Nothobranchius furzeri: one gene and its partner. The protein of the gene in region 2 binds, or shares a complex with, the protein of the main gene of each other region. Links are inferred from orthologs where the notes say so. Each region holds a gene or a part of one and is shown on either strand. Other genes may lie near its edges. The genes, in order: pes and bop1.

What was found.
Region 1: bop1 (region 2) and pes share a complex: the UniProt entries of both Homo sapiens proteins name them as parts of the peBoW complex. The link is inferred for Nothobranchius furzeri from reciprocal best matches to the Homo sapiens genes BOP1 and PES1.

The regions. Positions count from the first base shown.
Region 1 is NC_091757.1:45,266,556-45,270,069, forward strand, and holds the end of pes (pescadillo), read right to left. Parts: coding exon 3,433-3,514; intron 2,377-3,432; coding exon 2,246-2,376; intron 2,162-2,245; coding exon 2,036-2,161; intron 1,755-2,035; coding exon 1,570-1,754; intron 1,467-1,569; coding exon 1,324-1,466; intron 1,253-1,323; coding exon 1,085-1,252; intron 848-1,084; coding exon 773-847; 3' UTR 509-772; downstream 1-508. UniProt on the Homo sapiens protein: Component of the PeBoW complex, which is required for maturation of 28S and 5.8S ribosomal RNAs and formation of the 60S ribosome.
Region 2 is NC_091759.1:9,339,613-9,343,931, forward strand, and holds the start of bop1 (ribosome biogenesis protein bop1), read left to right. Parts: upstream 1-1,321; 5' UTR 1,322-1,425; coding exon 1,426-1,488; intron 1,489-2,197; coding exon 2,198-2,431; intron 2,432-2,511; coding exon 2,512-2,604; intron 2,605-2,714; coding exon 2,715-2,869; intron 2,870-2,947; coding exon 2,948-3,065; intron 3,066-3,145; coding exon 3,146-3,247; intron 3,248-3,322; coding exon 3,323-3,535; intron 3,536-3,604; coding exon 3,605-3,766; intron 3,767-3,843; coding exon 3,844-3,924; intron 3,925-4,022; coding exon 4,023-4,092; intron 4,093-4,319. UniProt on the Homo sapiens protein: Component of the PeBoW complex, which is required for maturation of 28S and 5.8S ribosomal RNAs and formation of the 60S ribosome.

The DNA of each region.
Region 1 (3,514 bases), on a different chromosome or scaffold from region 2:
GTGCCTTACCCAGTCCAGCTCACGAGCTTCATCTCTCTTTATAATGTAGTCAGGATTCCTAGAAGACACACTAGATCTTTCCAGCTCATCCCACACACACCATGGTGTAGCACAAACACTGCTACTATTGTGAAAGATGGGAGTGCCTTGTCCCTCTGGTACCAGGCTGAGATCCAATCTGGGTGGGCACACGTGGAATGCAGAGCTGGGTGTAAACGAAGGGGTTAAAGGGAGGACAGTGTGTCAAAGTGAGCAAGGACGAGGAGTGATGTGGATGTCGGAGCTGGCCTTTGGGCCACAGCATCACTTATCCACATCAGAAGGCTGGAGGATCGTCATCAACACCCACCGCTTCAGCAAAGAAGCCCTCGCCCCAGTGAACTAATGTAAACTCTGATGGAAAATATTCATAAATACTGCTGATGAGATGTAAAGCTACAAAGAGATGGATAAAATTAACACGCCACCACAAATTCACTAATTTTCATTACCAAATAATACAAGTAGGTAACTTAATACATCATCTTTTTATTTAAAAATGCAAAAGATTTTAAAGCACAGAAATTAAAATGAAGACTTTAAATGATGCAGAACAAAAATGAAGGGAGCTATTTTTACATCAATTACACAAATATGCAGAATCCTGCTTTTCTGTGTTAAAATATGCAGCGTTCATGCACCGAGCAGGGTTCTCCGGTGCAGTCGCAGGGTTTATCACATCAGCCTGTAACCATTCAACACAGAGTCCGTTTGAAACGAGCGTCACGAGAAGTTATTTTCTAGCCTTCTTCTTCTTTGTTTTCTCAGCATCATCGTGTGCTTTCCTCTTGGCTGCCAGTTTGTTGGCCTGTAAGAAGAGATTGATCAGCGTTAATGAATAGACACTTCACACATGCGCAGGTGCATGAACACACACTCTTCTGAGGTCAGTGACCTAAGAGGTCACTGCTAATCTACTTTTATACAAACAGCAACTTAAACAAAGTGTTAAACATTCTTAGATAAAGATTTATTGATAAAAACGTACAAAAACCTAAAATCACAACGTTATCTACGTGAGAGTTCACACTGCGATAACACCCACCTCTCTGACTTTTCTCTTTTTCCCGAACATGATCTTGTCGTAGAGGTATTTTTCTTTTTTCTTCATCATCATAATAGCGAGACGTTTCTCCTCTGCCTTTTCCTCCTGCTCCAGGCGGGCCGGATTCTCTGCCCTCACTTTTCCAGGTGTGACTTTAACCTGCAGGGACTAAAAGCAGAAACCGGGTCAGATTCAGGACATAAAAGACTGGGTAATGCAAAAATCAAACGTGATCCGACCTTGCCCTGAGATTTTTGCTCCTCCATCTTTTTGAGATTCTTTTCTTCTGCTTTTTCCTCTTCATCAACTTCATCATCACCACCTTCCTCCTCCTCCTCGTCTTCCTCTTCCTCCTCATCATCCTCCTCCTCTTGTTCTTGAGCTGCAACAAAATGAAAAAAGCACTTTTTAAGATTCACTTCAAAAGAAAGATTAATAATTTGACACAAAGACTAATAACTCATAGGTCAGCGTCTGACCCTCACCAGGTTTTTCTCCTCGCTGTAGGGCCATGATCCTCAGCTTCTCTGGGGGAACATAGTCCCCTTCCTTCTCCTCCACAAAAGGAGACAGGTGAGGGGGAAGAGTCACCCCAAGGAAATAGTCCTCCACGGGCAGGAGGATTTTGGCGTTGACGCAGTCGTACACCCACTGGGGCTGGACATAATACCTGAAACAAAAATATATAAAAATACTCTTGGTAAGAGGAAAATTATAATAAAGCTTCTCTTTGTTTTCTCTGATCATGAAATAGTAGTGATGAGAATATCTATTTCAAACTGGGTCACTTTGAGGGAACAGAAAGAGATGAAAAGTGACACTAAAGTAAAGGAAACCGAAGCAGACTTCCTGTAATCAGGATCCAGGTGTTTTCATAAAGAAAAGTAAAGTTCCTGATGCTATTAAATAACCTAAAAAGCTAAAAATGATGGAACTGCTAGATTTATCTACCTGTTGATGTACTGTTTGTCAAAATTGGGTCTGTCAACAATCTGGTGTGTGATGGTCTCATCTGTCACGTCAAACGTGCTCCCAATGCTAACAGACTTGTCCCAGGACACCTGGCCACCAAAACACCTGAAAAAGGGAAATTAAAAGTCATAAAAAAAGAACATCAACAGATTCCCAAAGAGATTTAAATGTCCCGTGGCCGAGCCTCACCGGATAATAAAAGCCAGCGACTCTCTGGGAACTTCTCTGTTCAGGAAGATCTTCAGACCGTCAAACAGCTTCTTCTGAGCTTCCAGCTGTTTCTGTTCCTTCTCTCTGGCCTCCATCTTCTCCACGTCCTCCTGGAAAAGATCAATTAGCACAATCGGCCGCGGGAACAATCAACTGTACTCACCTGAGCTAAAACAGGTAGACGACACAAACATGATATATAATAATCAGCAGAAATATCTCAGATTTAAAACCTTAAACAAGTGTACTGAATCCAAACAGAACTAAAACACACATAGAAAACAAGTGTATGCATCACAAAAACATAAGAAGTTTATTAACTTATAAACTATACAAACTAAAACAAGTCAGCTGACATTCTCAGTCATTTTTGTGATGCGGTCCTGATGCAAATGGACAAATCCAGATGTTTATGTGTTTAAAGTCGCTCAGTGAAACTTTAAATTAAAGTAGTTTTGAGGTCGATTCAAAGAATCTTTAAATGTTTTTCTCTCCAAACTTAAATCAGTCAAAAGGAAAAAGGCACAACCATGAACACATTAACCTCTAATCCTCTATTGTAGAAAAACAGTGTTATTCTAATTAAACAGAAGACAAATCATTAACTAACATTATTAGGCCAATTAATTTTCAACCAAAATAGATTTTGTTGCTAAATTATTGCTTTACGTTTCGATCACGGAGCCTGGTTCATGTTTTATGATCAAAATAAACTATTTAAAGCAGAAAAAAGCCCATAAATCACCAAAACACTAGAACACTAATACAGTTATTGCATGAAAACAGCGGTAAAAAACCTGAATGGGATCTTCTTTAGCTGGACTCAAGTTGTTTCTGCACATGTGCATCCGTGGATCATTTTGCTGTGAGTTCAGTTAAAACTTAAGCTGCTGAACTCCAGGTGAGATCTCTTTTATAAAACCTCCCAGAGGAAACATGGAGCTTTTTCTCTGGCAACTCCAAACCAGTCGGGCAAAACAAGCTTTCCAGGTGAGAACAGCTTGTTTGTAGCAACCAGCCATAAAGCAGTGAATCCCCAGTCACACACTGCATCTCCAAACAGGCTCAAAGAAAACAACTTTTAACGCCAGCTCAGGCTAAAAACTCAGATACCATTTTAAACATTTTCAAAAAGGAAAAATAAAAGGCTTTGTTAATTTTCTCACCCCTTCAGCAGGAAACTGGTCGAGTTTAGCCTCCTCCTCCTCTTCGGTGGAAACCACACGAGCCAGGCTGCCACTCAGAGCT
Region 2 (4,319 bases):
CTTTCGGCTCCCAAGTGGCTCCTCAGATTTTCTGTTGGTTGCGTAGAGTACATTTATAACCAAAATAATGCAAAACTTTATGTAAAATGATTTACTAATATAAATAAATGCAACATATCAAATATTCATCATTTCCATGGATTTAATAACTGAACACTTTAAGAAATCTCCACTTTCCGACTGCTGGCGCTCATTTTCTCACCGTCTCCATCGCACTCTCCTCTCTTGCTCTCCTTTTTCCTACTCCTCATTTCCTCTCGTCTCCCGCCACCCGCATGTGCTCTGCTGTGTGTCTGAGTCATCGACATGATCTGAGTCTGATCCTCCCTCTTCCCCGCCCCTACTGCTCTGTGTGTGTACAGTCTGGACACGCAGTTACACATGTTGACCAATCACCTGTAGCTTTCACCAAAGCAAGGGGGGAGGGGGGAGGGGACGGTTCCCAATGACGAGTCGGCTCCCGTCGTTCACTTCAAAGAGCCGGCTCTTAGAGCCGGTTTGTTTGCGACCGACACATCACTAAGATGAATGCCTTTGAAGAATGTATTCTATCTATTTGAAGTAAATGTCGAGCTCAAGGTGGCGCAACAAAACATTATTATTTACACATGATCATTCATATCTGTTTATATCCTCTGGTATTCTGTTTTTTTTTTTATCGTTCCTGGCGCGCTCCGCTCATCGTGTGCTGCGGTGATTTCACCTCACTGACGCAGCATCGAAACGCGCACTACGCTTTGCGGTCAGGAGATCCCTTTGATCTGCTTAGTTCAAAAGTAACTTGTGATGTGAAAAAGTAAGAATCCAGGCAGCAGTTTTTCTGGAGAATTTAGAGGAGATGAAGGACGATGAGAGACAGACAGGACAGGACAATAGTCACATAAAAACAAGAAAACAAAACAACGTGTTGAAAAGTCAAATGTAGGTAGATTTATCTACACTACATGTTTTTACCTGTATAAAACAATAAGTTATACACATGTAATATGTATACATCTGATACAATTCAGATCACCTTCAAAACTCAGTCACACACCCAGGGCCGTTTTAAGGCATTTCGGGGGCTAAGGCAAAACAGAACCCCACATTGAGAGAACTTTCTTCAGATGTGGGCTTAATATCCTGCCTTTAATTCAATGTTAAGAATTTAAATGGGTAGTTATCCTTTTCATTTCATATTTTTACACAGAATTTGCGTAATACACATTTTCACCCGGAGAGGGCGACACAGAGCTGCACGTTTCACCATCACGTGCAACAACATTTTACTCTGCCCCACCCCCTCTCTTTTTAAATTCAACCACATGGGGGCGCTAGCAACAAACGCGCATGTTTCCTCGCTCATAACCTGTGACCCCGAAAGTTTCCCACGTGGTTTTGTAGAGGAGAGTGACGAAAACGTGCAGCTAATCGACCTTAAAAAAGATGAAGAAAAAGGAGAAAACAGACAAAAAGCGGAGTCTTCAGGAAGAGGAGGAGGAACAACAGGTGAGGCGCACTGTCAGCGAGCACGAAGAAGAGGAGGACGAAGTGGACTGGTCAGCAGCTCCCTGTTAGCTGTTAGCAAGGCATCCTAGCAACACTTGGCAGAGCTTTGTAACCCCATGACAGTTTCTAGTTGTTATTATTTGAGGAAAAGAACTAGTCGATGCTCTGACAAACATTTGACAAATTATCCGTCAAAGAGTCATTACTAATACAGAGATGCTGTTTATTTTTATTTATTTTTTCAATTGCTACTTAATGAATGGAGAGTTGACAGCTAGTTTCAAGTAAAGATTGACCTGATGAGGGCTAAACCTTGATTTTTTATTTATTTATATATTTCCTGCTCCAGATTATTTAATTTATTTCGTATTTCTTGCTAACAGATCCAAAAACTAATACAGCAAATATATTTGAAGTTGTTTAAACTTTAGTACTGGGCAAACATCAACAGAAAATGATCCTACTGATCACATTGTAACGTGTTTTAGTGTAGAATTACCTACTCAGACAGTTCAATGTCAGACCTGAGAATCCTTTTTGTCCTAGATTTATTTAGATCACTGTAATAATTGTCAGCTCTGTGATGTTGTCCTTTTTGCTTTCTCCAACAGAATAACATATATAAATAGCAACAATTCCCGTTTTGTATATTTTATTGGTTTTTGGCTACAGACAAGAGTCTTGTGTGACATGTTTTACTCTACCTCAGCTCTTCAGCTTGAACGACAAACCGTTTAAGGAAGATGAGGATGATGATGATTTATCAGACAGCGTGGACAGCGTGTATTCAGGACTGGAGGATTCTGGGAGTGACTCTGAAGAAGAAGAGGATAAAGATGAGGAGGAGGGATCTGATGAGGATGATGATGAAAATGATTCTGCTGCCGATGATGATGATAAAAATGATGAATCAAATAAGAATGCAGAAGATCAGAGTCAGAAGGTAGGACCCACGAATCAGATGGCTTGCTGCTTGTTTTCCCTCTGATCAACATTTAGTCTCTCGTATTTTGGCCTCTGCAGAAAACAGTAAAAAAGAGCAAAAAGAAAGAAGAGACTGAAGAAAAGGACGTAAAGAAAGAAAATGAGTACGAGCATGACAGCTCAGATGAGGAGGTGGGACAAAATCATCTTTAAAACGTCTGTTTTTTGTGCAGTATTGTAAAAATAGTATTTCTCTACCGTTTAAAAGAAGTACTAACATACCAGTTGTGACTGTTCTGTAGGATATCAGGAACACTGTGGGGAACATTCCCATGGAGTGGTACAAAGACTTCCCTCACATTGGCTACGATCTGGATGGGAGGAAGATCTTTAAGCCAATCAGGAACAAGGATGAGCTTGACGAGTTCTTGGACAAAATGGAGAATCCTGAATATTGGTGACCAGGCTAACATAATGCATCATAATCCACACATTTAAACACCGCATGCTAACGTGAACATGAAAATGTCTACAGGAGAACTGTCCACGATAAGAAGACGGCGAGCGACATCGTGCTTTCAGACGAGCAGATAGAGCTGGTGAATCGTCTGCAGAAAGGACAGTTTGGCGACGTTCACTTCAACGAACATGAGGTGAAACTTGGTGTTTAAAGAGAAAGCCAGTAAATATATCAGCAGAATCAGTGAAACCAGGTTTTTTTTTTCTTCCCCAGCCTATGGTGGAATTCTTCAGTAACGAGGTCATGATTCATCCAGTCACAAACAGACCTGCAGACAAACGCAGCTTCATCCCTTCACTGATAGAGAAGGAGAAGGTAAAAGAATGTCTTCATCAGGTCCACCCACCTCCACCTGCCTGATGTTTAACTGTCTGTCACACCTGTCCACAGGTCTCTAAACTGGTGCACGCTATCAAAATGGGCTGGATCAAACCTCGGCGGGTGGAAGACGACAGTAAAGGTCGTTTCTATGACCTCTGGGCCAGCGAGGACTCTTCTATTCTAGCCAAACACAGGATGCACCTTCCTGCTCCTAAAATCCCTCTACCTGGTCACGAGGAGTCCTACAACCCCCCACCAGAGTACCTGTTCACGGACGAGGAGGTCTGTCAGCCGGCTGCTCTTCTTGTTGGTGCTTGATTGCTTCGGTCTAACCCGTCTCACTCTCCACAGAAAGCTCTATGGGAGCAGCAGGACCCATCAGACAGGAAGCTGCCATTTATTCCAAACAAGTACTCGAGTCTTCGTCAGGTTCCGGCATTTTCTCGGTTCATCCATGAGAGGTTTGAGCGCTGCCTCGACCTTTACCTGTGTCCCCGCCAGAGGAAGATGAGGGTAACGGCCCGTTAGGGGGGGGGGGGGGGGCTGATGATGTAACGCTATGACGGAACTGAATTTCTGTCTGCCTGCAGGTAAATGTGAATCCAGAAGATCTGATTCCTAAACTTCCCAAACCAAAGGACCTGCAGCCGTTTCCAACAACTCAGTCCCTGGTAGAATAAACACAGATGCATAAAAACTCTCCTAAAGGTCAGATGAAGTCAAACTTAGCCGTCTGTTGCCTCTGTACCTTTTATCTTCCTGTGCTCAGGTGTATCGAGGTCACAGCAGTCTGGTTCGCTCCATTAGTGTGTCTCCATCAGGACAGTGGCTCGCTTCAGGTGAAAACTCTCATCTCCTGTCTGTTGTCATTTAAATTTATCCCAGGAGAGAATATTTATCACAGCTGTTGATTCACAAATGAATGAAAATACAAATCTATCAAATGTTTTTGACGGCTCCCTTCCAGGACTTTTTCTTTTTATTTATGTTTATGTGACTAAATACTTAATATTTAAAAGATCACCATGGCCTCGTTAGTAAGAATTAACATCTGGGGTCTCCTGCA